2 linked regions of the Drosophila melanogaster genome follow. The protein of the gene in region 1 purifies or fractionates together with the protein of each later gene. This does not show direct contact. Each region holds a gene or a part of one and is shown on either strand. Other genes may lie near its edges. The genes, in order: qjt and Arpc3A.

Region 1 (16,435 bases):
GTCTACAAAGTTACACATTCTGGTGGTGGCCTGCACTTAGCTTCTGTCCAAGACATCAATCTTAAAAAGCGGCACTTTTAGGACATTTTTCAAAAATAAAGCCTAACTGCTTGGTATGTTCAAGCGGCCCGTCCACGGTCACACTGGTTGAGACGAGTCGAGAGGAAATTGCAGCGTAAAAGTCGAATTTCAAGGTAAAAATTTGGCATCATAATCGGTACAATGGCAGGTGCTGGCTCTAAAAATATGCACAATTATGGGCTGCCAAAAGTGCAGAGATCGCGCCCAGTGTTAGACGTACTCGGCCGCCTTCATCCGCGGAGCAGTGCGAAAATTACATAACCTCCGGGTGCAGCAAATATAGGAGCACCACCTAGGCCATAATGTTTATAATAACGATCTGTGTCTTCATACAAATCCTGGTGCACTTCCTCTGCGGTTGCTAATCAAAGCTTTCCCCATCCGCAGCCCCACAACCATGCGTCTATCCTCGATCCTGAATGGCCAGCATTTTGGCAACTTGGCCAAGGTGCACGGCATCGTCACCTACAAGCTGTCGCCCTTCGAGCAGCGCGCCTTCGCTGGAGCGATCAGCAAGGGACTGCCCAACATGGTGCGTCGCTTCCGCTCCAACGTCTTCATCGTTACTCCCCGTAAGTAAATCGCTCAGGATTCCCGTCGAATCGTATTCTAATACCCAATTTTTCAGCCTTCATCGTGGGATACCTGATCTACGATCTGACCGAACGCAAGCACACCGCCCTGCTGCGCAAGAACCCCGCTGACTACGCGAACGACGAATAAGCGTCCCAACTAGCAGATAGTTATGTTAAACTAATTAATAAAACTAAACCCACAGTTCAAGAGAGTTGTGTGTTTCGGTTGCTGGAAGGCTAAACACCAAAGGCTTTGTACTCATACGTTACACATGGGATAATTTTATGTTCTATTTTATCAGTTTTATTGCTCTGTTTGCTAAACAATTCTAGAGAGAATTTGTTTTTCTGGATGAGCAGCTGCATCAGCTGTTCCCCAGTCTTGGTTTGAGTCCAAGCTATCTCGCCCTGCAATGTCTCAAAATAAAATAACAAAAAATTCATATGATGAGAATTTCAAAGAAAAAACACGACATGGAGGCAATATATTACGTTTTAATAATAAAATAAAAATTTTACTTGTTTTTAATATTCGGTAACGGTCTTAGCATTGATAGTCACCCGCTAGAGTTGCAGAGAATCAATCATCGAAAGTCACCCGAAACAATCGATGAGTGAGAAAAGTAAATAGCCCCACCTCTAGCCACCGCACAGCTGTTTGCAAGCAAAATATTGGCGTTCTAATTGGTTATTGATCCGATATTAGTGCATTAATGGACTGCTGCGGTAACGAAGTGCGCAGCGAAAGTATCCACAACATGCTACAGGCCCTGGTGGACTCAAAGGTGGTCAACGTGCAGCTTTTGTCGATTGCCGTGGGCATTTTCTTCGTGGTCATGCTGCTGAAAAACAATTTTCGCAGCTTTTCTGTCACGTAGATGGATCCAGTTTAGTGTTTAATATATCTCATAATGTAATGTACGCTAAGGATTAATAATAACTACCACAAGCCACCTTGCATCTTGTTTCAGTTCTATGGTTTTTGGAGCACTCCTCGAGGCAGTGACGTCACGTACATTATATGTGTAATATTTTGGGTGCTAGAACGTACTCGTGCTTTTTTCGGTCTCAGGGTCATCGTGTTATTTCGTAGGTGTTTGCACAACAACACGCCCAACCCCAAAAATATAATTGTTTTCGAAGGCCGGGTGAACTGGTTTGACTGCCCCCGAGACTTCCACGGATCGTGCAAAAAAAAAGAAGAAAAAAATAGAGCCCAGAATTTGTTAATTTCATCATCAGGCGACTGTGATTCTTGGCAAGCTGTCTTGCGATAAGATAGGTTATTCGAATACTCGAAGTAAGTCCTACTTGGAACAGGCATTCTCATCCAAAAACTGTTGAACTTTTGCCCCAATTGCCGGAGTAGAAGCCATATCCAATCACACTCAATTGCTATCCACAAACGATTCCAATTGACCGGCGATTGATTGCCCAATGTCTGCACGCACTTCCTGGTGCAGCATTAGAATTCAATAGACGCCCGACTTCAGCTGGCTCCATTCTGCAATCCCGTACTGACTCATTGCCCGGCACTTTCAGAATTTATGCAATACTGCGGTACGTGCTCTTATGCTAAAATATTGCATTAGAACACCCAGCGAACGTGACTTGATTGCAGGGCTAGAAATAGCAGCACTACCTTTAAGCCCTCGGATAAGCCACTGAGACAAGTCTACCTATTCTTCTGATTAGTGTTGCTTATACGAACATGAAGGATCCCATAAATATTCTTAAACATCAACTGATAGTCCTGCAACTGTCTAATCCTTCATATAGCCTGAAAATCTACCTAACTTCACAGCTTACTAATATAAACAAAAAAGTTACATCTTTAGTAGTTTATTATTAGTTTATAATAATCAGAGAACATATGCATTTCTTAGAAATTTCCGTGAATAAATGACCATTATTACAAGCACAACTTACGCATTAAACAATAATAATTGATTGATTAATACATATTCATATGTATTAATTACATCATCGGATCATTCAAACTTTCCCAACAAATGCAGTTAAGCTATTGCTTACCACACAAAATAAATCAAAATAAAGCCATCCATTAAGCCGGATCATTAACCCGATTCCATACTGCTGAATGGATAATCCAGCAGCTTGTCAATGAACTTGTAAATCGGGAGTTCCAGGAACTCCGACGCCCGTCGAAAACGAAGTGCTGACTGAAGTTCCGTTTGGTTAGTTTAATCATTTACTGTTCATAAGAGATCTATATATGTATGTACATAACAATTTTTACAGAGATATTCGGTTACAGAAGAAATTTTGTAAAAAGCTTATCTAAAAACCATAAATTTGAATATCCATCAGATAATGGGTACGAAATCAGATCATCCCTCGACAGTTGACTGTTGCTGGTTACTTAACTTATTTTTCAGCGCAGAGGAGAGGCAGTCCAAGTTATGGGATCGAATTTTTGAAGACCTGGGATTCGCCTCAAAACTTGGTGGCTTATCAGAGCCCGCCGAGCTGGAATCTTCCTTATCGCCTTCGCCAAATTTCCGTTTCTTGCGATGCTTTATTTGATCACTCGGCTTGGGCATTGGTAGCTGTTCGGAAGGGATCGATCTGACATCAGCTTTATCGTCATGGTTGTTGTGAATCTTCTGATGGCGCGTTTTTTTAACTTTCTTCTTCTGGAGACTTGCCATGATACTTATCATTTCCTCCTGCTGGGCTTCGTACCTGGAGATGATGGCGTTCCGGCGCTCCAGCTTGGCGGTGAGGAAACCGACTTGGTTCTTGAGGCTGTCCACTTCCCCAGCCTGCTCGGCAATGGTCTTCATCTCGCGGCGCACCCGCTTCATCTCCTTTTCCACCAGTTCGGCATTCTGCCGGACTTCGGTCATACGTTGCTGGTACTTGTTACGTGTGAGATTGATCTGCTCCTCCAGGAAGGCAATGTACTTCTCCTGCTTAGCCACGTGCTCGTCAAGTTTCTCCAGCTGCTGGCTCAACACTGAACACTGCTCGGCTCCACCGCACTCCCGCTCATTCCGATTCGATTGAGCTGCGGCTAGTTCGCTCTGTAGAAGCTGGATCTCCTGTTCCATACGCGCCTGCAGAACCACCTGCTCCTGCCGATACTTACGATGTTGGTTGTGCTTGGAGCGCAGCGAGGACACCTCGCTCCGCAGGAGAACCACCTCGTTCTCCAATCGGGCTTTGGCTCGATCGTGGTATGGCATCGCGCTGGACGAATGAAATTTTGGTAGTCCAAAACACACGGCTTGTCTATTGGAAAATTGCTTCAAGATTGGGGTGTCTATTGGGATTTTGAAGGCATTCAGTGGGGAATCCGAGATCTGACATTTAAAAACTTAAATAAAACGTTGTTATGCAAGCATGCTCCGGTAATTGAAATTTTTTTTGATTACGCAATTCAATGGCAACCTTCGATATTTGTTCCCCTGTAAATAAGATCTGATTTGATATAAAAAAAAGGCATTTACTTTTTATTTCGACCAGATAAAAGTGCCCGTTTTACAAATCGAAAAATTCGAACGAAACGAAAACCGAAAAATCTGTGCTTTCGATTTAAGATCGATATCGTAAATTACGATAAATTCTCGATGATTCCAGTTTTTAAGCGATTACATTCCACGTGGCATTTGCTTAAAAACCTAATTTCAGGTAAATATCAACGTTATTTATAAATATAAGTCCATTCAAAGACCACTAATTAATAGGCTAGCCTAACTAACCATCAGTCTTGAACATTTGGCTTAAATATTCTGGATAAAATGGAATTCAATTACCTTGCTGATTCCGCACTTTCCACTTTAGTGGAAAACAAAAAGTTCTTCAAGGAAATGTCAGATTTCGTGTCCGATTTCAGCGATGGCGGGAAGATCAAGAAGTTGCTCGAGCAGAGCGTTGAGCAGAGCGTGGAGCACGCCGTGAATGTAGTCCATATGAAGATAAAGCACCAATCGCTCAACAAGGCTATGAATCAGGTCAAAAACTCTAGCGCCACCATCGAGGAGTTCGAGGAAGTCTGGAAGGAACGCTCCAAAGCGGTGGAGCAGAAGCGCATCAATGTCAAGAATCTACACGAGTTCAAGAACTTCGTAAAAGCAGTTGAATCAGCAGCTGGTCAGGCGGGTGCGGAAGTCAATGATCAAGCGAATGGCACCGCCTATGATGAGGACCTTATTATGGAAGACTCCGGCAGCGAGGTCTTCTCGTTCTACGATCCCTGGTCCAAGGCCCTGATAAAGAACCCCATGCGCAACAAAATGTGCGGTCACATCTACGACCGCGACTCGGTGATGCCGATCATAATGGACCGCATTGGCATCCGATGCCCGGTGCTCGGCTGCGCCAACTTGTGCTACATCCAGCCAGATCACCTGGTCCAGGACGCCAATGTCCAGCAAAAGATACAACAGAGCATGTCTAACGCGATCGTGGATGTAACTGCCTCGGAGGAGGACGAGGAATAGAACAGATAATGATTGTGCCCAACTCCGTCCTTGTTGAGAATTAACTTAGTAAAATAAAATAAATTCATTGTTGCCATTATTTTATTTTATAATAACTTGTACTTCTATTAATACACATATATGCTAATTTAAGCTGACCACAAAACCCAGTGAAACCACAATGTACACACAAGAATACGATTCACAACATATTCCTGTACCTACTTGTGTTTTCATTGGACTTCTTGGTCGAATGCGAAATTTTCTTGGAGTGAAGATACTGGATCAGCAATTGGTTGGCCGAAGATTGCGGCTTCACTTGGATGTCGCTCCTTTGCAGCTTCTCCACGGCACCGAGCATGTCCTGGCAGTGGTGGCCAATCCGCTTGGCCCGATCCCTTTCGACACTGGCCAGCACCTTTTGCAGATGCGACTCCAGCATGATGGCATTGTTCTTGATGGTGGACACCTGGCGCTCATAGTGCGCCTTTATTCTTTTCATCTCCCGCTGCTGCTTCTCGATGCGACGGGCCTGCATAAGGATTATGTCCGCCAGGTTTTGGCGATCGGTGTGATGCTGCTCTGCCTTACAATCCTGCTGCACCAGGACACCAAATTCTTCCTCGGAGATCGGACTTCCTATGCGCTTCAGGCTGGAACTCGTATTCCGACCGACAGTTTGTAGAGACTGCAATGGTTTCCTAGATGGCCTGGAGGACATCTTCTGAGTCTTTTGCCGCGTATCTAAAGTTCTTCGGGAATATGGCCTTTCATTCGGCAAACCAGGCAATCCATCGTTGCAAATCCTCACGCCCTTGGTCATTTTAAACAATAATTTAGCCACTCGTGAATTCGTTCTGACTCTTAATTTTATTCGAATTAGTTCAAATTTTGTCGATTAAGTGAGGGCAAACGTTGTTTCACCTCTAAAAATATTTAATGGTTAATTGAACTCTTAAGGCAATTCTGCGTAATAAATAAGCAACTGAACTGTTTACTTTTTTATGATATAAATGTTCGATTATGAATCATGCAACACTCAAATCTCTGCAAATATCCTCAAATTGGCGGAAAGTGAAAAAGTCGATCACTTTTACCCTTTTTTTTGTAACGATACTGACCAACTAATCTCAGTTATTTGAAAGTACTATAAAAACCACAAGCAAAATGACTGCAATTTGATAAACTCAGGTTCAAGGTGGGCTCATTTTTGGCAAGATCTGGTCAGAGTTTTCATGATTGTATGGGTTGAACCAGAGTTGAAAGTGCCACGCCCATCACTTGAGGCGACCAACCACACGCAAATAACCATATATGTATGTACATACATGTATGCATATGAATATTTAAGTAGGTACAACAAATTTGCACTTCTTGTATACTTATCTTAATATCTCTTAAGTAAATTTGGAAATAAGGAAAAATGTTTGAAGTTTCATACATTGCTGTCTTGGTTAGAGTATTCCAAAACCATTGATTTATGTTTTCTCTGCCTTTTGGTAAGCATAATTTGTATATTTTTGGCCGCGATGCCGCACACTTGATAAGGGTTATCGATATGCCCATGGATATATGCATGCATTATGTGCGACTGATCATTATTTGTTTTCTTCCCATAGCCTGTGCATCGCATTCGCAAGTTGTAAATTATTTGGCAGCAGGAAGCGGATTTCGTTTGGTTTTCGGGGTGTGGAAGATGGATGGATGGTGCTGGCCGGCGAAAAAAAAGACATTCTTAATATCCTGAATACTCATAAATTCAAAGTACCCCCTTGAGCCATAATTCAAGCAACTTCCTCGAATAATTCGATTCACAGTCCTTCAACACAATGCCAAGGTCTGGTCGTTTATGTCACCATCACTGCCTTCGGCTTTCTATGCTTCCAGTATATTTCTTAATATGACAAACTTCTTCCCACTTATGCAATTTCCATAAATTCAAGGTCAGCCATACAATAAAAGTCCAGACATCAGATACTATATACAACATACCCGGCACATGTGGACATTCGTCTGGCTACTTTTTCGGCAGCCAAAAGATTGAGGAAGAGTAATTTTTCGCCAGAGATGAGCGAAAACATCTGCGGATCAAATATATACATATATTTTAATAATAATAATTTTAAAATTTTTAATAAATAAAAATGATAAAAATAACTCACATTGATTACGTTTCTAATACAAAGAAATGAAATCTGATAAATCAAGAGCTTTAAATACCATAATGATGTTCATCCAAGAGATTCCAATGATACTTTGCCTAATAATTAAAGTCAAATCAAATTAAAAGTTAAAATCGTTTTGGCAGAAAACTGTTAGTAACGATAGATAGTAGTTGAAATGAGAGATTAATACAAATACATAAAATTGTTATCACTGATATAGTTAATGACAATAGTTAAAAGGCTATAAAAGGGTACAATGTAATTGTGGTACTTCAGATAACAAGGCCTTTGAAAATGTTGATTTTAATTAATTTTAATTTTTAATTTTAATTTAGCCATTGTATGTCTACTATACCAAACAAAACAAGAACTTAATTGGGTTTTTTGTAGTACGAAAAATTATGTGGAACCTTAAACATATAAATAAATTTTATACAACTATGTATAATATTATTTTACAAAAATAGCACAGCATTCTTGTGTAGTGAATCAGCAGGGATAATAAAAACAGTAAAAGATTAATAATGTATTAAATATAAATAATAATTATGAATAGGCAAGGAAACTCCATACTTGTAAATGTATAATTTAATTATTTATTTAATTTGGCTTGCATCAACCAGACTCGCTACTAACTGCCAGCTCTATAAATCCCGCATATAATATATACAAAATTCGGCTTTGAGAGCGACATTCCCTCACACCCCTCCGACCCCTTTGCACATGCCGAAAGATGATATCAAAATGCGAAATCAAAACAAAGACCCAGAATTTCGGCAGACTAACCCAAACAACATAAAAAAAAGGTCCAAACCCGACTAGCATCTAAGCCAAGCACAAAGGAACCACGCAGCAGACAGGGAGCAGACAGGCGAACCCCAAACCCAAACCAGAAGTCCAGGGCCTTTTTCTGTCTCGTTCTTTTTTATATATACTTTTTTTTATAAGCCCCTTAGAAGCGTAGACTTCGGCTAGACGAAATTTGAGATGTCTAAAGGACGAAGGAAAGGCAATCAGAACAGAAAAGAAGGAGGAGCTGTCAAGTGCCATCGTGGAAAAAAAATGGAGAAGCAGACGCAGAGCTTGCTGGATTCGTTCGATTTTGTTTCTATCAATTTCGGTTTAATTGCATTTAATTTGAATTGCAGACATCGAAATCAGGTTATATATTTCGTGTTCGGCTGTGCAGCTTGATTTAATTTGCCTGCTAGACGGCCAAAAATCGACGTAGATATTGCGCAATTTGCTCACCCCGAGAGCAACAATCAAATGCACTCGAAAAGTCAAATAAAAGTGAATTGATTTATGGGCTTTTTGTTTGTTTGCACTAAATATTCTTAGAAAAAATATGGTTACCCGCATAAATCAGAAATAATTACTTGAAAATACCCTCATTTGATAGTATATAATAAAAATAAAAACCGTAGAATCTGAAATTCTTGAAGTCTTGCATTTTATCGAAGATTTCAAATGAAAACTGCTGTTTTTGGCACAGTTTTTCCACCCTCTATTGTATCCTTGCCTCGATTAAGCACTTGCGCATAAATCTGCAGAGGAATCGCCAAAAAGCTGTAGCTTTAGACAAGAATCAAAACATATGAAATATGCAACAGGCCAGACACTTCGGTCGGAAATTTGCTTTGCAAATTCTGCTGGTTTTTGGCGACAAATTTCAATTTAACAATCGAGCACAGACATCCGTTCTGGGTGCAAATCGCAGATATATCTATATCGCAAGATACTGGGAGATACAAACGCGCACCAAGTCGGATGAAAGAACCCTATGCAACATAACTCAGCAAAGCAAACTCAGATTTCCGACAAGGGAACCCCCCAGCTCCTACTCGCTTCCAAAAATTTCTGACTTCGACTCTGAGTTATTAAAGAAACGCCATCGAGTGGGGGAAACAAACACAAAGTTTGTTATGTTGCGCAGGCGCAGCCCAGCAACGCCCTCAAATTCAGGGACTCAACATCGGTGGATCCATATGGGGATGCATATGGGGGAGAATCAGAAGGAGGCATCCGCACAATGTTATTGACCCGTCCCAACGGATCCGTTAGCCATCCTCCGCCCGAATGCCCCGCCCCGCCGCAAAAATTCTTATTAAGATCAATCAGCTAAATGTCGGTTTTATGCTTAATGCTCATGATTCACACGGGCAGAAGAGTCCAGGAATCGAAACTCCATGTGGCAGGAATTCGACTTTCAGCCCCTTAAAACACACCCACTGGTACTCTAATATGATGGTTGGAACTTTCAATTGCAAATTCACTATTTAAGAAATAATTAACAAATTATTGGCTAGACTATAAAAAGCATCTATTCACATTCATTTCGAATTTATTTCTAACTCTTTTAAACATACGTATTATCTTTAAATATTTACATTTCTTATAGCTTAAGAAATCTTGTTGTACTTATTCTGTTAGTTACTATTACCTACTAATTAATTCATATTTAAAGATTAATCTTTATGGTTAGTCTGACAAAAATCAAATGCATATTAAAATAGTATCCGAATAAAGATACTTTCAAGATAATTCTCATTTTCCACTTATCCCAAATGCTAAATTCAAATCTCACGTGTCAGCTAAGTTACCCTTCGCATCGATTCCAACTCCAAAAAAGCATGTCCCAACAACTTGTGTGCGAATATAAATAAAAATGTGCATTTTTGGCAGCCTTTACAAAGTTGTCGGCACGTTTTAATGCTGAGAATTTGAGCAGCTTTTTGCCTTCTTTTCATACTTTTTTGGTTACTTAATTAGTCATGGCAGGCACACTCGGGGAATGGGGCGACTCGGAGTGGCAGAGGCAAGTACCCTTATAACGAATGCAAACTGTATTCGATCGAGGAGTAGAATCGAGTGACTCCGTTCAGATCTTATACAATAGTTTTCCCACCCCCCGCATTTGCTTATCACCACTGACACACATTATAGGCCAGCTCCGACTTTTGATCCGTTCTATTCGCTTCAAACTCATCCAATTCATAAGCGTGCTTCCTGCTTTCAGTCAAGATTAAATAAGAACATTTCCCCATCCAATTCCCCTTTCAGTAGTAAAATATCAAGCTCATTAAAAATTAACAACAATTAGGGAAATCGCTTAAAGAAATAAGAATTAGTAAAAGTAATTGTATGGCAAGCTTTTGCTTTTTCTACTTTTTATTTTATTAGCAATAAAAATACCTAATATTTATAGGAATATATGTAATATACAAGTTCGTCATAAGGAAGCCCCACTGCACATACATACCACACCACATTGTGTGCAACACATATAAATGTGAATGTTTATTCCATCTGACAACGGTTAGCGATAAGCCCAGCGATGTAGTCAATACAACAAACAATAAGGAACACTTTTGGAGTTTCGTTGTCGACTTTGTCATTATTTGCTTGCCGTTTGTTTACAAGCTGAAACATTGACACACACACATCAGCTGCATCAGCTGCTCGTGCCCCATCCCACCCACCAACAAGCCCACTCAGAATGCGTAACCCCCTTCAATGTGGAAGCTCCAACACCCATGGGTTCATCTGCGGGTTATCAGCAGCGGATTGCAACTAGAATTGGTTACAAAAAAAGCGAGCCACCGAAAAGGGAAAACAACATTCATCCGGCGGCGGCGAGAAAAGCAACCGCAAAAGTTCAATGCACATTTCGAGGTGAATTTGTTTTTGAGCTCTCGCTCGTCTCGGCCTGCAATTAATTACACAAATCGAACGAGCGTGTTTAACTTGTTTTCGCGTCTAACATGTCACGTAATTAGCCGTCTAGCTGCGAATCGAGCCGATATCGATGGGAGTTTGCCAAAAGAGTAGCCAATAGATACGGCTGCGCCATCGCCTGCGTTGCACTCAATTTGCTTGATTATTGCGCACAGACTTTGCATGAGTACGCGTATCTGACAGTTTGCCTATCTATCTGGCCGCTTGGCAGACGACCTTGCGCCGAATATGCAATTGATACGTACTTTGCACATATGAATATTAATAGGCGACCAGAGAGTTACTCGAGGAATTTCGCAAACTGAATTCCATTAGCCTCCAAGACTGTAGACTATATTGTAAAGTCAGTTGCACCGACAGACAGCAGATGCATAACCTAAGAGATAACCCTTAATCGCAAAAATCACTTGGTAAACACACAAAGCAACTTATAGAAACTATTTAGCACGTTTTGCAAAAAGTATTCCTTTTTAGTACTTCGCTGGAACTAACTAAAATGTAACGAGCATTAATGTAACGAACATTAAACCACCAAAATTCCTCATCATAAACACTTTTCTTTGAAATGCAAAACTTTCAGGCTTTAAGCTGTTCCTCATGCCTTAGTGAAAATAATGTATAGCTCATAATAAGAAATTAATCAATCGAATCATAGACTTAGAATATCCATCACTTCTCTTCACTTTTTTATATTACCCACCCCACCCAGACGAAAAATCTTGGTTGAGTCATTTGCAGAAAATGTATTTTATTGTACATATGCAACAATAAATATTGTGTACTACATGTGATTCGTAAGTTAAAAAACACTAAGCCAAGCTAAGAGAAAGTCAAACTTGTCGAATTTCAATCAAAATAAAGGTCTTTCTATGAAAGAATTGGTACTTCTATCAAAACCACTTCAATTATTCCCTTATAAACGTAATGTATTCTAATATTCCGGTATGCTGAAAGTTTAACCCAGGTCGATCTGTCTGATCTCCAAAATCCCCTTTCCAATTTGATAAAAGAGCGCACGCCACTGATAACAAACAGAGAGAGCAGCCGAACTAACAGAGCCCTAACAGCGTGGGGGCCTAACAGAGCCCCAACAGCTCCAAACAGCTGCGCTGCCGACGTCGACGTCGGCGCAGGCGAAAAGTTTTGGCTGTTTTCAGTTCGCCAGACCGTTTTGCGTATTCGTATTCGAATTGTTACCGTGTGCGGACTGTGCCGACGGGCAGCGGAACTCAGGCGGTGCAACTGTATGTGTGCGGTGCGTGAGAGTGTGTGTGTGTGAGTGCGAGTGGGGGGCGAGAGAGATAATATGTACATTCGGTGTATATATACACATGTGTATACGTATTATTTCTATACGCCGCGATCAGACAACAACAACAACACCAACAACAATGTGGGTCGTGCATATTGAACATATGCAAATAAAACAAAAACAGATAAATGCCAAAAATCTACTACACTTTTATAACCAAAACACACAGAGCGCGCAGAGAGAGCGGCAATAACGATAACAGCGGAGACAGACCACCCCCACAGCGAAGAGAGAGCGTAAGAGAGTGACGGTTAGAAGTATCTTTGAGATACACTAACACAAAGAGAACGCGTATCTGTATCTGCATCTGTAAATGTATCTTCTGGTCTGTGTTTTTCGACTCCTCGTATAAATTGAGCCGCACTTTGGTTATTCTCGAGTTTTTGCTGCTCAGACGTCGCTGTAAGTGCACGCGTCGCTCGACTTTTCGGTTCCGCTCCGCTCCGAATCGGTTTCGTTTTCGGTTCCCAATACCTCCAATATTCCCTGAAAGATACCTGTGTCCAAGAACCCAGTTGAATCCACACATTTTCGTCGTGCAAGTCACAGAAAAAAATTATTAAATTTCTAAACGCTCAATACAAATATTTTCGCACACTATAAAAATATTAAAAAAAAAAAAACTGGTTGACAAATTTGTCTGATCAAAAACCTAAAGAAACTTGTACGAAAACGAATAAAACTAATAACATATTAAATAATCTCGTTTTTGAAGTTCATTAAAACCACACTTAATCAATAAATACATCATTGTTAAGATCCTCAGACCATTTTAACAAAAAATTAAAGTGCCAATTCCATTTTCAGTGAGTGCTTGATAAATTTGTTGTATTGAAACCCAACCGCAAATACAATTTTCAATTGGCTGAGTGCGTGTCTTCAACGCACAAACATACGAATATAGCATTTAATATTGTTCATTATGTGTGCAATTAAATAAAAAAAATTGTGTGTGAAATAACAGAAAAACGAGTGCGGCGAACAGAGGCAGCAACAAATTAAACGCGTAAATTGCGTAGCAAATTCTGAATGAAAAAATTCAACAAAACCAGAAAGCGAAACAGGAGCGATAAGCGTAAGTACAGCTTTAATAAATAAATTGTATATGTTCATAAAATGACAACTTTTTGTGACAACTTAAGAACTTAGAGTTGGATGGCAATTTAGGTTTGTCAATAATAGAGTATAAGAGTATAAGAGCTTTGCTTAAGTGAATATTACTTAGAACCCCAATTAACAATTACTTCAACTTGCATATATATAGAATTTGTTTATTTGAAAATGTGTATTTCCCAAAAACAATTTTTGTATAATGCATTTAAGTCTTGTGGCGAAATAAAATTTCAAAGAGAACGATCAGTGCCAAACAAACATGCAGAACCAGAAATAAGCTCAAAATTCATGGAATAACCTGATTTGGTTTCTTTTCATTTAATTGGGCTAAAGAAATTTCCCTTTTCAATGCTTGCCCACAAGAGAAATGGAAAGAACGAAGCATTCTCTGATTGATGTGGGGAAAACAAAAACAGAAACCCCGAAAAGATATTTCGAAACAAAATAGAGAGGGGCAGACGATGTCTAAGCATTTATCTTTTGGTTCTTCGACGCGGTTCTTGTTATTTTTCTGTTTTCGAAGGGGGGGACTATTCGGGCGCCAGAGAAAGTGAAACATGTAATTTTTTGTTGGAAGGCCTACAAAAATCATACGCCGTATTGAGTGAAATCGTAATGGGCTAAGAAATTTCTTAAATACGAAGGTTAAAAGGGGGCAGAGCAATCAGAAAGCGCACAATACACACTCGGAAATAATGATAAGACGCGCGACGGAGAAGAGACCGGCCAAAGAATACGAAACACACTCCATTTCTCTGTCTTTTCTGCCTGCTTTACTCGGTTCCCGGGTAATTACATACATGCCGTAAAACCAAAATAAATACGCACAGATAAAGATGCACAGATGCAGATACAGATACCGGGTTGGGATGGGTTGGGTTCGGATGGGCTTTTTTCCCGCATTCTTTTTGTGTCCTCGCAAAACGAAAGCCGAATATCGGCGAAATGCATTAAGGCCGAACAAAAGCAAAAACGAAAACAGTCAATAAACGCTGTTTAATCAAATGTAAATGTTTATACCGCACCGCAACTATCGACTCAGAATTACCGACTTTCAGAGCGTCAGAGTTTCACTTTTGTACCTCAATCATATGAGTGTTTGTTCTGGCCAGAAACCAGCAAGAAACACTCTTTTCCGTCTGACCCACATCGGGTTCGTTATCACCGATTTTTATTATCCATTTATATATATTTGCTTGATCGCATTGAATACGTACACATTTACAGAGCCGTTTATTTTTTGGATTTCAAAATTAAACACTTAAAACGACGTTAACACACAGCAGGAAACGCATCTGAAAGTGACAGAGAAATCACTTTATTCTTTCTCGAATTGAAGTTATTTTTTTCGCAGCAAAATTAAAAATTCATGAAGTTACATTATTTTGCTCAGGTTCATAGAGAAAGTCAAATGAGTGCTACAATTTGAAATAAATTAATTCACTTCATTGTGGCTTCTTCCATTTCATTTTTGACTTCTATGTTTGGTTTACCTAAAAAATATGTTTAATTAATAGGTTTGTATATAAAATATACTACAATAATACGTATATAGTGCAACAGCTAAACTTAAAGCTAATGATTGTGTAAACATTAGATTAACAGAAATTTTCATTTAAATGGTTAAAATACCCATTTATGGTGTTTCCCATAACCAAAGTTTCGGAGCTAACTTTGTCTACCTCGCCATTCCCATATTTTTCCATTGTTTCCTTTTAACTTCATCGCCTCCGCCGACCAATAAATGATCAATGGCCCAAAGCATTTCGATTTCAGCCAAACTCATTTAATTTGTTTTTTGATTCCGCTCTTTTTTTCGCCATGCGCCCCAAGTCCAGAAAAATAAAGAAAGATACAAACAAAAACTGGGAAAGAACTACAAAATTCACCTGTAATAACGTCGCAGAAAATGAAGAAATCGGTTGAGAAGCGGCAGACAAAAACACGAATCGAGTAGAAGTGAGAAGACGAGCTACAGATGGAGATGAGAAAAAAGTTGGGGAACTTGAGAGAACAGACCCGAAATCACAAACCAGATTTTCTACTAATTTAAATTCTTGGCATACAAAATATTCTAAAAAAAAAATATATAACAAAAATGAACAAAAGCGAAAAAAAGACAATAACAAAACAAAGTTTTCTGTATTGATTAACGAAACGAAGCGAAAATGGTTTTATTGTCCAAATATTGGCAGACAGTTTCACATAGATCGCACGTATATATCTATATACCACCTTATATTACACCCATTACATATCCATCCTTTAGAACTTCCGTTTCCTCGGAACTCTCTTCGCTTCTGATGGATTGACATTTGTTTTATCTGCCTGACGTTTAAAATAAATTTCTTGGCCAAGAGAGCGGGGTAAAAAACACATTTACTCATCGTTGACACAAAGGAAATTTTCAAGAAGTTTAGTCACTGTATATCGATTTTTACTGGCTCGATATTGCTGTATTCGTTTGCCAGAGCACGTGTAAAGTTGTACACAAAAATAAGTCTTATTCACAAGCCCAAGCTGATAATTTTATATGGTGCTGTATGTATTTGGCATTATGCTAATCAACTGGAGAAACAAATACGTACAGCCAAATCGTCATTAATTATGCATTTATTTTGAGCGTCTCAGGCCGCTGGCTGCGGCCACATTTGATATGAAAACCTCGATTCGCATTTCGAGAAACTGAAAGTTGGCCTAAAAACACAGTTAGGAATTGGCCCTGGCCATGCATTGTCGTTGAGCTGGGCTGGGGTCGTGTTTACCGCCTTAGTCAACTAACTTTAGTCGCCACTATCAGCCAGATGTTGGCCTTACATTATGAATAACTCAAACGGATTTAGCAGTAGTCCCAAAAGATACAGAAAATGCATGCAATGTATCTTGCTAATTTTCTCACTTTAAGAACTGAAATAAGGGATAGTACTCATCGTATGATTACAAGATTATTTCTAACGGAAGCATATTTGTGCAAATGCACAAACTAAGTAGGATGAACAACAGACA
Region 2 (17,005 bases), on another chromosome or scaffold:
GGGATAAATCCAGGCGAGCACGTGCCTGCGACAGGTGAATTATCGCAAGAAGTTGCCTTACAAGAAGAATAAGCCAATATAAGTGTTACCTTATAATTTAAGGTTCTTAAATAAATCTTACAACTGTATAAAATTGCCTTTAGGTATTTCATAAATGAAACACAAGCAGACTGTGAACACCTTAATTAGTATTTTTTAGATTAGTATTCTTATAGTAAGTAAACATATATATGGGCAAAATTGATAAAGCAGGTTTGTTGCCTAAGTCTTTTGATTTCTGACCTTTTGCCAAAAGTTCTTCAAACGTGTATTCCATTTTGTTTCCATTTTGAGCACAGTTTTCAAATTTAAGGTCCCGAGGCCGTACGTGGGCCTCATCTTCTTGACCCTCAATTAATTTCGCATCTTGTTTTTCTCATCATTTACGCCGTAGGTAAACATTTCTTTTCAGAAGTATGATAATATATGTATCTCCATATTTGCCGAAAACTTGTTTTGGCAGATGAATGTTTTTAATTGTATTTCTAAGTCACCCAACTGGTCGTACAATCACGCCCAACACTTTTGCTAATTAAGCTTTATTCTGGCGTACTTTAAATGGATTTGATAAAAATATTTGATTTTAAATTTAAAATTCCAGCTCCTTTTCGTAAGTTTTCGCCCAAAACAAAAATAGGTATAAGTGGGCAACTCTGATGCCCAATGAAAACTAACTCGATCGGAAACCCGAAATGTAATCATAAATCAGTTGGATGTGGGCGACTGAAGAGCCCAGCATCGAACATGTTCCAACGCATTTTTCCCTTTGCCTTTTTATTTTATTTTTCGGAAACCAACGCATTTCTCGGGGGAGTTTTGAAACCCATCATCATTACAGCAACTGCATCGACAGAGGCAGAGGCCGAGGCATAGGCAGCGAAGCCCCATCTCATCCAGAGGCCCTAGACGCACGCATCTGTTCGGACCGCATTTCATTCTCGGCTCGCACGTTGGCGCAAACGGTTCATTAGCTGGCGGATCAATTCCATTCGGTCGGGTTTCGATTGGGTTTTGGGCCAAAAGTGCATTTCCTAACATCGGCATTGGCCGGACAGCAGAAGCCCCTGGGTCTGGTCATCTGCTTTGTTTTTTTGCTTCATTTACCTCGAGTCGCGTCGGTTGATGAAATTCCGCTTCTTATTGTTATTGGTGCGCTGGCGTTGCATTCGATTGGAGTTCGAGTGACGAAAGTGCCAAGAGTCGAAGACAATCAATTAGAGGGTGCATTACAATCGGCGATTCGATGCATCCCATGACGATGATGATGCTTCACATCGTGATTTTAGCAGCCACTTTTACGGCTGCGCAGTGTTTTCAATTGAACAGTAAGTGTGTATTACAATCAATGGGAAAGATTTATGTTCCGTGTTAATTTTGTTTATGAGCCTATTAAAAGTTCTGATAGTTGTTAAATAATCAGACTAGCAATATGTAAATGGTGTAGGAAGGCTTGTGCTAAGTAGAGAACGTAATACTCTTCTCAAATCAACAATTTCATAAACTAATAAATGAGTTCTAGTATTTGAGTAACTAGAGTTATAGGGGAATTATAGAGCTTGTATTGAATAAATATTACAACGTAGTTAAAACCACAAATCACGTAAAACCCATGATTAATGCAAGTTGAATAAGCGTTTTTCGTGCTTCCTTTGGCAACGGGGAAGTTCTAAGCCGACAAATTGAAAACCATTATGCAGTTCCATTTGTTCAGATTGCATGTTATGCTTGTCAATCGATATAACTATAGAACACTTTGCCAACGCTAGCATTATCCCAATATGCACCTGATCCGCCTATTTGCGTGTTCGGCTCCAAAAGTTCCCCGCCCGAATTCGGGCTACAAATTTGATGACGAAGCAGTATTTTGACAAACAATTAACTCAGCCAAAGTGTCTGGAATTTGCCAAGAGATTGAGGCACTCGAACTTGACTTGACCAGCAAAAAAAAAAAAAAAAAACCAAAGGCAGTGCGATTACAATATTGACATATGCTTGTTTGGTTGATTCCATCAATCGGAATAGAGAAGAATCGGAAGAATCTTCCAGCAAATGCAAAACAAGTTCAAGCTCGGGCAAAGGAAACTAGTTTCCTTTCACTTGACTGACCAGCCAATGAACCCGGACTGCAGTTCTAGCGAAAAAAGGACCTGCCCAGTTCAGAAACTTGTTTCCCACTTAATGAGCCGATTTATCCGACTGATTCACCATATTGTTTCTTGATCTGCTCCGTTCCCTTCCACTTTGCAGTGACGCAGTTCTATGAGATGCCTCCTCTATACGACTTGGATGACTATGATCGTTGCCTCCAGGAATTGAATGGCCAGGCGTCCACTTACTGCTTCGTCCGCGCGGAAGTCCAGCCCGATGAGTCTGTAGCGGCATGGCGGGCAATTGCAGAGATTTCGCAGTACGATCGCCATCACTTCGATCACCGACAGCTCTATTTCGGTCTCTGCCTGCGCGAATGTGAGGCGTCTCTGGCCGGGTTGAATAAAAGCGAACTGGAGGCCCTGCAAGCCGGCCTGCTATCGGAAAATGCAAAGGTAAGGCCACACGGAGGTGTCACCTCATTGGTAGCGATTCAGCTGCGGCTAACGATCGATTTAATTCAATCTTCGAATTCGCTGCTGGGCAGATACAGATACAAATACACATATTTCAAAACCCATCCGCTTGCCGAGGCGTCGGCCGTAATGGTCAATCAACAATCATCGGACACAGAAGCCGGGATAACAACGCCAAAGTTTATTCAACTCGAGCTCCCCGTGAGCTGCACATTATGTGGGCAGTGGCGCAGTAAAGGGGGTTTTAGTTCACATATTTGTCATTGGCATATACAAAGGTTTATATCTGCTTGCTATAAAGAGCTATCATGTTTTAACTTCTTAAATATTCGAGTATGTTTTTAAACAGGTTTATCGTTTTTTGAAAGTGGCCAATTTCAAGGGTCCCTCTCACAACGAACATAAAATGAATCCCATTTCAAAGATCCCCCTTGCAGACGCCTCTGGCTAAATGCGTGATCTGTATCTTCATTACCTATAAATATTGCATAAATTACAGCCGGAAAATCCGCTGATTAAACATCGGATAGCGGGGCAATGGGTGCTGCCAGCAGATGGGAGATGGGGATGGGGAATGGTGTGGCGATGCCATTGATGCAGTCGCCATCAAAATGCATTTACGATGGCTGATTAAACAAAGCGCTTATATTGGCTTAGGCGTTGGCTAAAAATGGAAATGGGCGGTCAGACAGCGAAATTCGATCCAATTCCATCAAATCAAATCGAACTCATTTCTTTCAAGGCCAAGGGCCTGACGTTGACATTTTGGTATTTTAATGATCGCAACATGGTCAATGCAATATTCGGCAGGTGAACGTATATCTGGACTTGTTCTCGATGGAAGCCAATAACCGCCAACGGCACCAGCGCTTGACAAATGCCTGCCTGAACTGGCGTCTGCAGCGTCGTGGATTCGGGGTGCTGGCCAAGAGCGTGGTGGAGTACTGCGATGAGGCGGGACATCAAGTGGAAGATGGTGAGTCACAGATTATATCATCGTGTAAATAATGTTTCTTTGCATTAGCATCCAAAAAGTGTTATGCATTTAATGGCGATGAGGTAATACTAACGACCGATAAAATAAATATTCCTTCTCGGCTTTAGATGCGTGGAACCTGACCTTCTACGGAATCTTGGGCACTCTACTGGTTCTGGCTTGTCTGGGTAGCTTAGTGGATCTGCATCTAAAGCGAAGCCGTCATGATAAAATGCTCAAGGAGCGAGATCACTACAAGACACCGCCCAAGAGCACTGCCCAACAGGTGCTGCTCACCTTTTCGGTGGCCCGCAATTGGTACCGACTTAATCAGGAGCCAAGTGGTAAGATCGGTCGCGAGCTGAGATTTCTCGACTGCTTCAAGTTCTTTGCCATGTTCATGGTGATATTTGCGCACACCAACTGGGTGATTTACGAGAGCGCCATCAGCAATCCGCAGGATCCGGAGCGACTGCTTCACACGGCAGCTGGCACTTTACTCGTTTCGGGATCATTGATCACTGTGACCTTTTTTGTGATCAGTGGTTTGTTGCTTACCATTAACTGGCTGGCCGTTTCACGTTCGCTAGAATCTAAAAAGGACACCTGGAGCTTCGGCCAGTATGCTTTGCTATTTGTCAAGTTTAACATCTTCCGATACATCCGACTGACGGTTCCATATGCCTTTGTATTGCTCATGAGTGGCGTTTACTTTGAGAACGCTGGAGGTCCACTGTGGCGGCACATCTTTGAGCGGGAGCAGTTGGCTTGTCGACGCAACTGGTGGACCAATCTGCTCTACGTCAACAACTTTGTACGCACGGATGAGCGGGTAAGTAATGAGTGCTTTATCTAATTTATCATCTAATCCACTCAAAATTCCATTCGGGATGCAGTGCCTGCTCCAAGGTTGGTATTTGGCAGCGGATACTCATTCCTTTGTGCTCAGCTTGGTGCTGCTGATGCTGGGTCACCGGTTCGTCAGATGGAGCAAACAGCTCTATGCGGGCATTTTGGGTCTTTTTGTGGTGGTGCCAATGGTGCTCACATATGCCATGAACTACTATCCCATTTTTGTACCCACGCCACAGTAAGTGATCGGACTTAAAAACTTTACTACTTGATTACAATCATTCTACCCATCTACCAAACAGAACCCAGAAGGATTCCTTTATCGGAGATCGTCAATTCACCGAATTCTACACGTCGTCCTTTATGAACTTCGGTAGCTATTTCTGTGGAGTCCTGGCCGCTTTGGTTTACGATCAGTTGGCATTGAAGCAATACAAACTACGGGAGTTAAAGAGCTTCCAGCTTCTTTGGTTTACACTTATTCCAGTGGGGATTCTATGGCTGTTTAGTGCTCATCCCATCTTCCAGCACTACTACGTGACGCCGTCGGCCATTTGGGGAGCATTATATGCCGGCCTGCAGCGAAACATCTGGGGCTTCGGGCTGGGAATCTTCATCGTGGGCATGGCCAGCAAAGTGGGATGTAAGTATCAACTGCGAGATATGCTTGGTATATCCTTGGCAAATCTTACTGTTCTTTCACAGGGATTTTCCGTAAGTTCTGCTGCTTGCCCATTTTCCGCATTTTGGGACGCCTCACTTATGGAGCCTTTATCGTCCACCTTCTTGTGGCGAGAATCGTCTTGGCCACAGTGCGGGAGCCCATTTATTTTGGCACGGGCATGATGGTGAGCTCACTTCTGGCATTCAATAGGAATTGGATTTTATGTAACTCAAATTGTTCTCATCTTATCTACAGTTTGCTTTCATCTTTTTTACGGTGACCGTGTCCTATCTCTGCTCCTTCTTGCTGGCCATCTTTCTGGAGCTTCCCGTCTCCTCCTTCCTCAAGCTTATGAGGTAGCCCAATGTCCTAACTTAAAGATTACTTATAACTAGAATAAAAGACATAACTTAATTAAATCCGTCACCAAAAAATTTCACTTACCCTGCGCCAATCTGGCTGGAAACGTCTTCATCGAGATTGCAGCTTCCTTTGAGCTCAAGGAAGTAACGCAGAACAGCATTGCTGGCGTCCTCGTTTAGGACCGGATTTAATTCCTGGCGAGCATAGGACAAGAACTTCTTAATCAGTATGGGTGGGAGCAGGTCCAAGTCCCCCTCCTCCGGAAGTACCTCCAGACGTTTGTCAAGATCATAATCCTGCTGCATAATGCTGTCATTATCGTCCTCCGTTTTGATTGTGTCATCATCTTTTCCCGCTGCCGGCACATTAAGGCTGACCTCGCACATGGAGTCGCTCATTTTGGGCTTAAGAGCATAGCGGGCTGCAATTCTCGCTCGTTTCCTAGCGCCCGCATGGAGAGCCCTTACGTGGGCAGTCAGCGACATATCTCTCTCCGAGGGCTTGTCCAATAATATGTAAACCAAATGGAACTCCCGCAGCAAAGAGGGTGAAATATTAATATTCTGTAGAAGGTAGCGCCCCTCATCGTATTGTCCTCTTTGTGGATTTGCGCACGCTATCACCGAAGGTTGCGCCGGGAATGAGGCAAATGCTCCTGCAAGTGGAAGATTTACTTCCTCTGATTGTAGGCACTGCAACAGTACGGCCTGCTTGGAGGCAAGTTTATCCACATCATCGAGGGTGCAGTGACCGCCTCCACTGGCCATCATCAAGGAACCCGCTTGTAGCACACGCTTGTTACGCCCAGCAAACGTAACACCCAGTTGCTGTGCGGATTGAGCCCCACGTTTTCCACTCACGTGGGCACCACGTTCAGCGATCTGAGCACAACTTTGCAGAATCTTGGTCTTTCCAATTCCGGGATCACCCACCAGGAGCACGTTGATGGCTTCAGTCTCCGCACCTTTCCCGCCGAGAAGGGATAGTAAACAGGCGGCTTTGGGTAGCTCATGTCCGTATACCTCCGGGGCAATGGATTGCACCAGTAGCTTAAAGCTGTTGGGTTCCGCATTGATCATGACAATCGCTTCCAAGTCACGTTCGCTGAACTCCCGCTTGATGCTGCTCGCATCGCGAATGCTGACTGCCTTGAGATAGGGCTGCATCTGGTTGGAGGTGTCTCCAGTGGTGGTATCGTCGCCCAATTCCTGCAGCTTAAGGATGCCAGTTACCACGACCTCCTGTCCGACACGCACAGCATCAACTAGATCATGTCGCAGCTCCACGTCCATTTCAGCAGGCATGCTGGTCTCAAAGTCGTGGACCAAGTTCAAACTGGACTCCTCCACGCGGATAATCTGTCGGATTGAAAGCCTGGTGTATGGGGAACTGCGAAGAGGCACGAATTCGTCACGAGCCACACACTCCGACCGCTTGCATTGATAAGGACGTGGCTGGAAGGTTCCCCGTTGGCGCATGGCAATCTCCATCTGGCAGCGACTGCAGCGAAAGGCTTGCCACGTGAGGCTGTAGCTAGGCTCGCCCACATTGCTCACAAAACCCCGGATGGAAAACAAAGTGTCCACTCGGGAATGGCTTATTCCTTCTATTGATTCCACAGGCACAAAATCATCCGGTCGTGCGTAGATCTTGCGTACCCGTGGGGTTGGAAGGACGTACTGTTCCGGAGTGGACACCATAGCTGTGGTGGAATCATTACAGTCCAGCTGGTGATTGACGACCACAGTGTGCATAGCCAACGACAGGGTTCCTAGCGTGCGAAGCGGGTGCTCACGGATGTCTTCGGACAAACTAGGCCAAACCTCCTTTAGCTGGGCATCTGATTTGATGCCTGCTGCGCAGAGGGGGAAGAATCCCCGATCCCGTATCATCACAAAATCGAAGGTGTGAGGATTACGTTGGTAGTATGCCTCCACGGCCATTATCCTTGTGGCCAGTTCGTTGCCCTCCTCGTATTTCTCGCGCAAGAAGTACAGTCGCCAGCCGGAATAAGCCCGTGGATTATCCACCGCAATGCTCTGCACCTGGAGCCCGTCTTCTGGTGCGGCATAGTTTTCCGGCCGCAGAAAGCTGCAGTCCAAGTGAGCATTGCGTCCTCGCTTGCCGGCTGTGCGGCTCCAGCCCCTGGGTTGCCGAGTTGCAGGCGGAACAGAAGGAGCGTCTGGTGCTCCAGGTTCCCCTTGGTTGGGTTGTCGATTGCCTCCGGCTGGGATCACACGTCCATTGCGCCGAAAGTAGAAGTACGGACGGTAGGCTCCGCCTCCGCGACCACGACCACGCACAAATCGCGATGGGGCGCCCCCCCGGGAAAGCGTTGGATTCATTTCAGCTGGGGAAAGTTTACAAATTTGCCCGCTTTTAAATAGAGATGATACCTATATTACAAATGACATGAAATATCGATAACGATCTTTGGCTAAGATATTGAACCCTTAACGATTTTATATTTAAACTTATAAATCGATGTAATAAAATTATTTTGGAATTATTTCGGCGGACACTTGTGATATCTTCGATTCTTGCTTCAGTATGCTCAGCTGGGCGGGAAGGTAGTGTTCAAATACACCCGATAGCTTCGACTTGACCTCACGAAATGTTTCCAACACTTTTATCTCCTCGTTCTCATCAGTGGGCTGCACGGCCTTTAGTTCATGTAGTAATTCGGTGCAGCCGTCGAGGAGCATCACCTGCTTCAGGTGAAGCTTAAGCAGCTCCTGCTGAATTGTCTTGATGCACTGGATTTGTTGGTCCATGCGCAGTGGAATCGTGGAAAGAGCCAACATTTGCTCCATATGCTTTTTATCCTTCACGAACATTTTAGCAGCACTTTCCATGGCTTCAGCAGGTTTTGCTTCAATCTCCTTGGGATCTTTGTGCTTTTTATCCTCCACGATCGTTTTATGAATAATTTCCATGTTTTCAGCAGGTTTTGCTTCAATCTCCTTGGGATCTTTAATGCACGGAGCTTCCGTCTCGGTTTTAGCTGGAATCTGTAAGGGAAATTAGGGCTTACTAACTAACTAGCCTTAGAAATTGACAGCTATCGCCTTTTTTTTTGGTTATCTACAGCTTTGTATTTATTTATTTTTTTTTTTACCATTTTGTTCTCTGCTGAAAAGTTTTAGAGACCGTATGCAACCAATGATAAAACTGAATAGCAGATCGAATACTAAGTCAAAGCCTCCTTTTAATAAGAAACTCATAGTTTTTTACAGAACATTCAGAGCGATCTAGGGTTCTGGTTTCTGGTCACCTTTTTTCGGGAAAAGTGAACTCAGATTGACGGGACAGTTGTCCAGGCGGGCCAGTTGCTTAACCATGTCATCCAGGAGCAGGCTGTTCCGCTCGTCGGAACCCTGGATGAGCCCGTAGGCCTCTGCGTTGGCGATTCGGTGCTGCAGAAGCGGCATGTAGGGTCCATTGAAATGCGGCTGTCCATTGGCCAATTCCGGCGGAGGCTTAGCAGTGGGAATAAAGTCCGTTTCCGACTTTGGGGACCGGCAAGTCGGCTGGTTTGGCCGAAACTTTGGAGTCCTATAGCCCAACTTTCGCTTCTTTTCCGCCTGCAAGTGATTTTCGCTCACGTCGTCGGACTCGTAATGATGGTTATAAAACCGGATGCCGTATATTGCGGGCTTTGGCTAAATTAGGTAGATTTATCTTTAGATAAATTAATATTTTGTGTTATAGATAGTGTTGATGGTTAGAAACTGAGACATATCTCCAAATCTCCAATACTCACAGCTCTCTTGCGCTCCTCATCGTAGCCATCGTCATCCGAATCATCATCCTGTTCATCATTGTCCATTTCAATGGGAATCCGGTCACTGGTCACCGGCACCTGGGGCACGAATTCTGAGGCACTTGCTCGGAGTCCATTAGGGGAGACCGCGGTCGGCGGAGAAGCAGAAGCCGAAGTCGGAGGAGTAACGGCTGGAGTCACCTCATTGCTCATGGACTCTAGTTCCAGACATAAACGTTTGTAGGCCATCGTGGTTCTTTCCAAGTGGTTGAGATCCAATTTGCCAGCGATATGGGCAACGTTCTGGAGGAATTTTTTACTTTCATCCATAAAGAGCGAAGTCACAATCAAATTCCTTTGTGGATGGCGCAAACATTAAAAATTTTAAACATTTAACACAAACTTGATTTGTTTAGCATTCGATGTTTCGATTCGATTTCTGACAGAAAATCTGGAACTGTCAAACATATTTAAATTGGTTGATGTACAACAATTTATAAAAAAATATTAATAACGAACTAAAAAACTTGTAGTATTTAATGGAATTGTCCACAATTTTAAAAATTTAGCTCAGTGTGACCATTTCGGTCGCGACTTATCGGTCTTGTCGATAAATTAGAGCTGCAAAATTTGTAAACAGTGGACGCCTATAATTAAAAACAATATTTAACATCGAAAAAATAACGTTTTCAACGTTAATTTAAATAATTAATTTAAAATACAATTCAACATGCCGGTTAGTGGATACTTGCGCATCAAAGGCAAACGAGTTGGCGTTGAGATATTCCCAGTTCTTTTCACCTGCTTTCGTGACCCCCTGCCAAGCATAAAAATTTCCAAGGGAAAAGGCAATCTTGTAAATTAACTATGCTTTCAGGCCTACCACTCGCAGATCAAGGAAGTGCGCCAGCAGGTGGGCAACATGGCCATCCTGCCGCTGAGGACGCAGGTGCGCGGGCCAGCGCCCAGTGCGAATATTGAGAGCGACATCATTGATGAGTCACTGTACTACTTCAAAGCCAATGTCTTCTTTCGCACGTACGAAATCAAGGTGAGGCCGTAATCCGGGATTCAGAACCATTACCTGGTCACGTGATGGTCATATTGAATCCTTATGCTACTTGCTACTTGAATTCACAAACTATGTTTTACCATTTTCAGTCCGACGTGGATCGCGTGCTCATCTATGTGACGCTCTACATAACAGAGTGCCTCAAGAAGCTCAATCGCTCCACGAGCAAGGCCCAGGGACAGCAGGACATGTACAGCCTGGCCATCTCCAAGTTCGACATTCCCGGCGATGCTGGCTTCCCATTGAACGCCGTCTATGCCAAGCCGCAAACGGCCCAGGATGCGGATCTGATGCGCCAGTACCTGCTGCAGCTGCGCCACGAAACCGGCAACCGGGTACTGGAGAAGGTCTTCAACACCGAGGATGGCAAGCCCAATAAATGGTGGACCTGCTTCGCGAAGAAAAAGTTCATGGAGAAGAGTCTGGCTGGACCTGGACAATAAACAGCTATCCACAATATCTGGTATCTTGTTTTGCTTCTACGACGGGTAAAAATACCCTTCAATTAAGTTTTACTCGCAGCGTGGTCCTAATTTGCAGTATCACTGCCAACGTGTCACAATTAATTAAATTCATTAACCACTAAATAAATTATTTGAATTTGTAAGCCTTTCTGTTTTAATTAATTTATGTAAATTCTTTTTACAAAATTAACGTGGATAAAACTGCAAGTAACTTTCATAAATAATATCTGTTTCTAATAACTGACCAGCAAATGGAAGTTATTGCCTATAATTTGTGTAATCAAAATCGGAATAGTAAAGTATTAACTAAGTTTCATTTATTTGTAGTCGCTCCGTCATTGGAAAAAATGCTTTCTATTGGCCTGTTAATTAAATAAACTTTGTCATCTGTCGAATACAACGTGGAACTCTTTGAATATAAATAATTTATATTTATTAGGCCAGTTGAGTAATTAAAAAAAATACAACTGACTTTCGCTTAAGACGAAGCCACAGCAACGATCTTTAATTGGAAAATCGTTCTAAACAAGGAATTCTAGGGGTACAAGCAACTTTAACGATAGAGATGGTCGGCCTGCAAGTTAGAGGCAATCTCGGACTCCCACTTGTCGCCGTTGCAGAGAAGCTTCTCCTTGTTGTACAGCAGCTCCTCGTGCGTCTCCGTGGAGAACTCGAAGTTGGGTCCCTCGACGATGGCGTCCACGGGACAGGCTTCCTACGCGGGGGGACAAAAAGATGCAATTAGTTTCTAGTAAATTGTGGCGCCACTTTGCTCCTCCTCACCTGACAGAATCCGCAGTAGATGCACTTGGTCATGTCGATATCGTAGCGTGTGGTACGTCTGCTGCCATCCGCGCGCTCCTCCGCTTCGATGGTGATCGCCTGTGCGGGGCAAATAGCCTCGCATAGCTTGCAAGCGATGCAGCGCTCCTCTCCACTGGGATAACGACGAAGGGCATGTTCTCCGCGGAATCGCGGGCTCAGTGGTCCCTTTTCAAAGGGATAGTTGATAGTGGCCGGTTCCTTGAAGATGTGCGCCAGGGTGACGGCAAATCCACGTAAGAGTTCACCGAAGAACATGGTGGATGCAGCACGGTCCGTGATGTCGGCAAACTCCATGCTCAGTTCCTTGTTGTTTACATACACATAGCCCTTGGGAACCTCGACGATATCTTTGGGTTCTGCTCGCTGGGCGGCCAGCAGCCGGGCTCCATGGCTGCCAAACAGGCGCTGTCCTGTGGGGAGAACATTTTACCATTAAATAACATGCTTAAGTCGAAAAGTTATACTGAATTAAGCGAGTTTAGACTTTTGTTTTGGTATGACATAAGCTTACATAACCTCACTCGCCGCGATTTCCACGAAAATGGGAAATTTCCCGGAAAACAACGGATGTGAGGGGATGGGTCGCCACCTACCGTTGCGCGATGCGGTGAAAATTCGCATAGTTAGCGACATTTTTGCGACCAAATTAAACTAAAATTGCCAAAGAAGTTGTTTTGCTATTGAATTTGCCCGAACAAATTAGAGCTGGGTTTCTTTCGATTACCCACATAAATTCAATGCTCAAATATCGTATTCAAATATATCGTAGTTTCTTAATGACATAAACCAAAAATAAAATATGAGATATAAAATATAAATAATGTAACAAAGAATTAAATATTCGTGTAAAAATAATAAATAATATTAACAAATAATCCAGAAAGACTGTGAGAAAAAAAAGAAAACATTTTTTTTATACGAATACCCCTAATAAAAACCTTAAAGCTTCGATAATGGCACTATCGATATAAATTCGCACTTTTACACTTTTCAACATTGACTTTGAAAATCCCCACCACTACAATTTACAGTTTAACTTTTCCCGCTACGCGGAATTGTGAAATTTTTCATTGTTTATGTCGGAAAATGGATCAGGAGGTTATGGATTTCTTTGACTTCTCGAAGGAGTTGAAGCGCGTGGCCGCCGCCCCGCAAGGCTACATCAGCAGCGATCCGAGGCTAATGGCCACGAAGTTCAAATCATCCGAAGTGCCCAACCGCGAGTTGATCGGCACCGACTATGTCAGCAAAATCGTCGCCAAGGAAAAGTGTCTCCTGAACGGGGTGAGAACTGGAAGCTTGCGTCAGCACTTCTGTTTGTTTATGTGTAATTCGATCCAGACGCTGCTCAACGAACAGCCTCAAGGCAAACGCATTCGAACGCTGGACGATTTGGACACCGACGATGAGGGGGAAGAGACCGAAATTCGCCGGGATGACGAGTACTACAAGAAGTTCAGATTCAATCTGAATCGCGACAAGAACTTGTCCATCTACGCCAAGCGCGAGGAAATATTGGCGGCCATCAATGCTCATCCGGTAGTCATTATTAAGGGCGAAACAGGATGTGGCAAGACCACGCAGGTGAGCAAAACTTAAATAAAATCCTAACTTTTTTATTAAGTCTATATTTTAATAAAGCCAACGCAAGCGAATTATAATTAAACCTTTTATCCTCGACTTTTGAAATTCAAATCCAAACTAGTCGAGAGTATTTAATATTATATAATAAATAATAATCTTCAATATACTTTTCAACTCTTTATATAAGAATAGCAAAGCCTAGGAAACTTATATCCTATATAGTTATATATCCTATCCTACATACTTAAATACAATGAATATTTTATGTGCAACAGATAAACAAGATCACATCGCGCAAAAATGCTAGTTATTTAATTATGTAAAAGTTTTATAAACTAACTCAAGTATCCAAAATAGCTTTGAGTTCTTCTTCCGTGACCTCCTCGCTTTCACCCACTTCCATTTCCTCGTCGTCACTAAACTCAATCATCTCATACTCTTGCTGCACGTCTGCTGGAAGTTCCCTCTGAAAAACGGTGGCCGAGGACATGCGGCGTTGATAAGTCTCGTTGACCTCCAGCTGCACTTCTAGTTCATCCGCCTGGTTTTGCGGCTCCCGTTCCTCGACGCCGTACATGGCCTTGTTCCGCACCCTCTGGCGCACTTCCAACTGGTTGCCTGTAGATGTTGTGGTACAATTCTCATCTGGAGTACTCTTTCTAGCTCCTAGAACACTTTGGATATCGGCAAAGACTTCTCGCAAATGGCCGAATATTTGAGAGGGCGGCAAAGCGTGCTCATGACCAGCCGCCAATTGCTTCTTTTGGGCATTGTATGCCGCTTCCAGTTCACACAATGGCTGGCTTGCCTGGTCCAGTGCTCGCAGACCCTCCAGTTCGTATGTGAGACTGACGCCGTTCGCACGCTGTTGCTTCTGCATCAAGGCACTCTGCCTCTGTTCCTTGGCACCCGCTACGGTCTCCACACGGTCGTAGTCCACCAGATTGTCCAACCCCTGGCAATAGTCGAGCGCGGTGAAGCGGAAGGCCTGCTCCTGGGTCAGGCGCCACAGCATGTAGGCGATCTGATGAGTGTCCTTCCGCTCCGGACTATCCTTGCGCAGATCTAGAGCGTAGTCTGTTAGTTCTTGCCAAGTGCGCGGTGAGACCTCGATCTTAATAAAGTTGTGCGTGGGCTGCTTGTAGTAGATTACGTAGAGCAGAAAGAAACCTCCGATCCTTTGAGCGCGAGATGCCGGGAAAACGTCCCCGGTGGTGCGTCGGGAGCACGACAGTCGCTTGGCCACATGCAGGGCCGCCAGTGTGGTGGCTATCACCTCTGTGTGGTTCGTCTGGGCAGTGAAGAGGTGCTGCAGCTGCAGTTCTCGCCAGCACCGGCAGAACACCTCGAACTCGCAGTTTTCGCCATCATTAACCAATCGCTGAAATCGTTGCACCAGCTCCCAGCAGTCGTCAAAGATATTCAGCTCCATTCTGAATCTTAATTACGCGAAATATATGCGCATCTCTCATTCAAAAGAGCCTCAAAATATAAACAATAACATTCGCCGGGAATAAGCTTTTACAACACTAGCCGGGGAGTTCATCGATAAATATGTAGTGTTCATAACTGCTTAGCTATTTTCAAAAAAAAAGCGCAAAACTATAAAAACTGTTTGAAAAATGTGTAAAAAATACAATTACATTTTTGTTCTGCTTTGTAAATATTTAGATATTTTCTTATAATTATTATTAGTATTCAATCAATTATTCTTACAGGTGCCCCAATACATTTTGGATGAGGCCTATAAAAGCGGTAAATACTGCAACATTGTGGTGACACAACCCCGGCGCATAGCTGCCATCTCCATAGCGAATAGAGTTTGCCAGGAGCGCGAGTGGCAGCAGAACACGGTGTGCAGCTTCCAGGTGGGCCTGCACCGCCCGAACTCTTTGGAGGACACTCGTCTGTTGTACTGCACCACCGGGGTGCTGCTGAACAATTTGATTAACAACAAGACGTTGACCCACTACACCCACATTGTGCTGGACGAGGTGCATGAAAGAGACCAGAACATGGATTTTCTTCTGATCGTGGTGCGTCGCTTGCTGGCCACGAACTCGCGGCATGTAAAGATTATCCTGATGTCGGCCACCATCGATGCCAAGGAACTGTCCGACTACTTTACCACCACTAACTCAATTCCGCCAGTGATCACCACCAATCATCGACGTAAGCACTCGATCGAGAAGTTCTACCGTGACCAGCTCGGCAGCATTATTTGGAATGAGGAAGATGTGGGACACCAGCAGGTGCCAGAAATCAACAAACACGGTTACAGGGCAGCGGTAAAGATCATAGTGATTATTGACAACATGGAACGGAAGGCTGCAATCCAGTCGCGGCAGAGCTATGACGAGGCCCTGCGCTATGGAGCTGTGCTCATCTTTCTGCCAGGCATCTACGAAATCGACACGATGGCAGAAAATCTTACTTGTATGCTGGAAAACGAGTAAGCATTGTTATCCGTGAGAATTGCTCACTGTACAAATTTTGAAGTAGCTAAAATTGTATCATTATAATTTCCAATCTTTATTGTTTAATTGCAGCCCCAACATTAAGGTCTCTATTGTTCGCTGTTTTTCGTTAATGACACCGGAAAACCAACGGGATGTCTTCAATCCCCCGCCTCCCGGTTTCCGCAAGATCATTCTGACCACAAACATTGCTGAGAGCTCCATCACGGTGCCAGATGTCTCATACGTTATTGACTTTTGTCTTGCCAAAGTAAAGGTAACCGATACGGCTAGCAGCTTCTCTTCGCTCCGCTTAACCTGGGCGTCCAAAGCCAATTGTCGTCAGCGTGCCGGCCGCGTTGGTCGTCTTCGTAGTGGACGCGTTTACCGTATGGTTAATAAACACTTCTATCAGAGGGAAATGCCCGAGTTTGGAATACCAGAAATGTTGCGCTTGCCCTTGCAAAACTCGGTGCTCAAGGCCAAAGTGCTGAATATGGGATCACCGGTGGAAATCTTGGCATTGGCTCTATCTCCGCCGAATCTGTCGGACATACACAATACAATATTGCTTCTGAAAGAGGTGGGTGCTCTGTACTTAACAGTAGACGGCATCTACGACCCGTTGGATGGCGATCTTACCTACTGGGGCACAATCATGTCTCGGCTGCCGTTGGACACACGTCAGTCCCGGCTTATCATATTGGGTTATATTTTTAACATGCTCGAAGAAGCTATTATTATAGGTAAGCGGGCAACAGTAGTTAAGCTTTAGGATAACGGGGGGAATATTCTTTGTCTTGCATTAATGATTTTTTTTTTAAATATGTTGTAGCTGCTGGCTTATCGACGCCTGGCTTGTTTGCGCACGAAGGTGGTAGGTCTCAATTAGGCGATTCATTTTGGATGCACTATATCTTCTCCGATGGATCTGGCTCCGACTTGGTGGCCATTTGGCGCGTGTATCTGGTAAGTTATGCGATGCATTACTAATAGCGTAATAACTTGTTTCTTCGGCAGACATATTTGAACATTGTGGAAAATGGTCACGACCAGGAGTCTGCTATCCGTTGGGCCAAACGTTTCCACGTCTCCTTGCGGTCACTTAAGGAGATACACTTGTTGGTGCAGGAACTGCGTGTGCGATGCACGCATCTCGGTCTGATTCCGTTTCCTGTTAATCCTAACCAAATGATGGACGATCGTGAAAAAGCGATCATGCTCAAAGTGATCATTGCAGGTGCCTTCTACCCAAACTACTTTACGCGTTCCAAAGAGTCGTGTGCAGACACAGATCGCAATATATACCAGACAATATCGGGCCACGATCCCTGCCGCACCGTATATTTTACCAATTTTAAGCCTGCCTACATGGGCGAGTTG

The links.
Region 2: the proteins of qjt (region 1) and Arpc3A purify together in Drosophila melanogaster (affinity purification with western blotting, with the first as the bait; one study listed by BioGRID). This does not show direct contact.

The regions. Positions count from the first base shown.
Region 1 is NT_037436.4:17,474,942-17,491,376, forward strand, and holds qjt (quijote), read left to right. Parts: upstream 1-4,154; 5' UTR 4,155-4,310; intron 4,311-4,366; 5' UTR 4,367-4,420; coding exon 4,421-5,122; 3' UTR 5,123-5,200; downstream 5,201-16,435. Other genes in the region: CG46525 (uncharacterized protein), read left to right, coding at 384-446; UQCR-Q (Ubiquinol-cytochrome c reductase ubiquinone-binding protein), read left to right, coding at 479-653, 710-804; CG34250 (uncharacterized protein), read left to right, coding at 1,370-1,530, 1,628-1,685; CG13733 (uncharacterized protein), read right to left, coding at 3,008-3,865; CG6333 (uncharacterized protein), read right to left, coding at 5,304-5,924.
Region 2 is NT_033777.3:15,824,815-15,841,819, forward strand, and holds Arpc3A (Actin-related protein 2/3 complex, subunit 3A), read left to right. Parts: upstream 1-9,833; 5' UTR 9,834-9,951; coding exon 9,952-9,957; intron 9,958-10,098; coding exon 10,099-10,272; intron 10,273-10,382; coding exon 10,383-10,736; 3' UTR 10,737-11,207; downstream 11,208-17,005. Other genes in the region: rec (recombination-defective), read right to left, coding at 1-56, 5,540-7,803; CG4576 (uncharacterized protein), read left to right, coding at 1,283-1,364, 2,287-2,582, 3,414-3,579, 3,708-4,411, 4,476-4,669, 4,734-5,074, 5,137-5,279, 5,351-5,455; CG43318 (uncharacterized protein), read right to left, coding at 7,954-8,469, 8,577-8,579; CG43317 (uncharacterized protein), read right to left, coding at 8,710-9,120, 9,222-9,551; ND-23 (NADH dehydrogenase (ubiquinone) 23 kDa subunit), read right to left, coding at 11,311-11,472, 11,541-11,992, 12,176-12,215; spn-E (spindle E), read left to right, coding at 12,669-12,866, 12,924-13,166, 14,885-15,618, 15,716-16,368, 16,458-16,591, 16,643-17,005; Pbp45 (PSEA-binding protein 45kD), read right to left, coding at 13,507-14,598.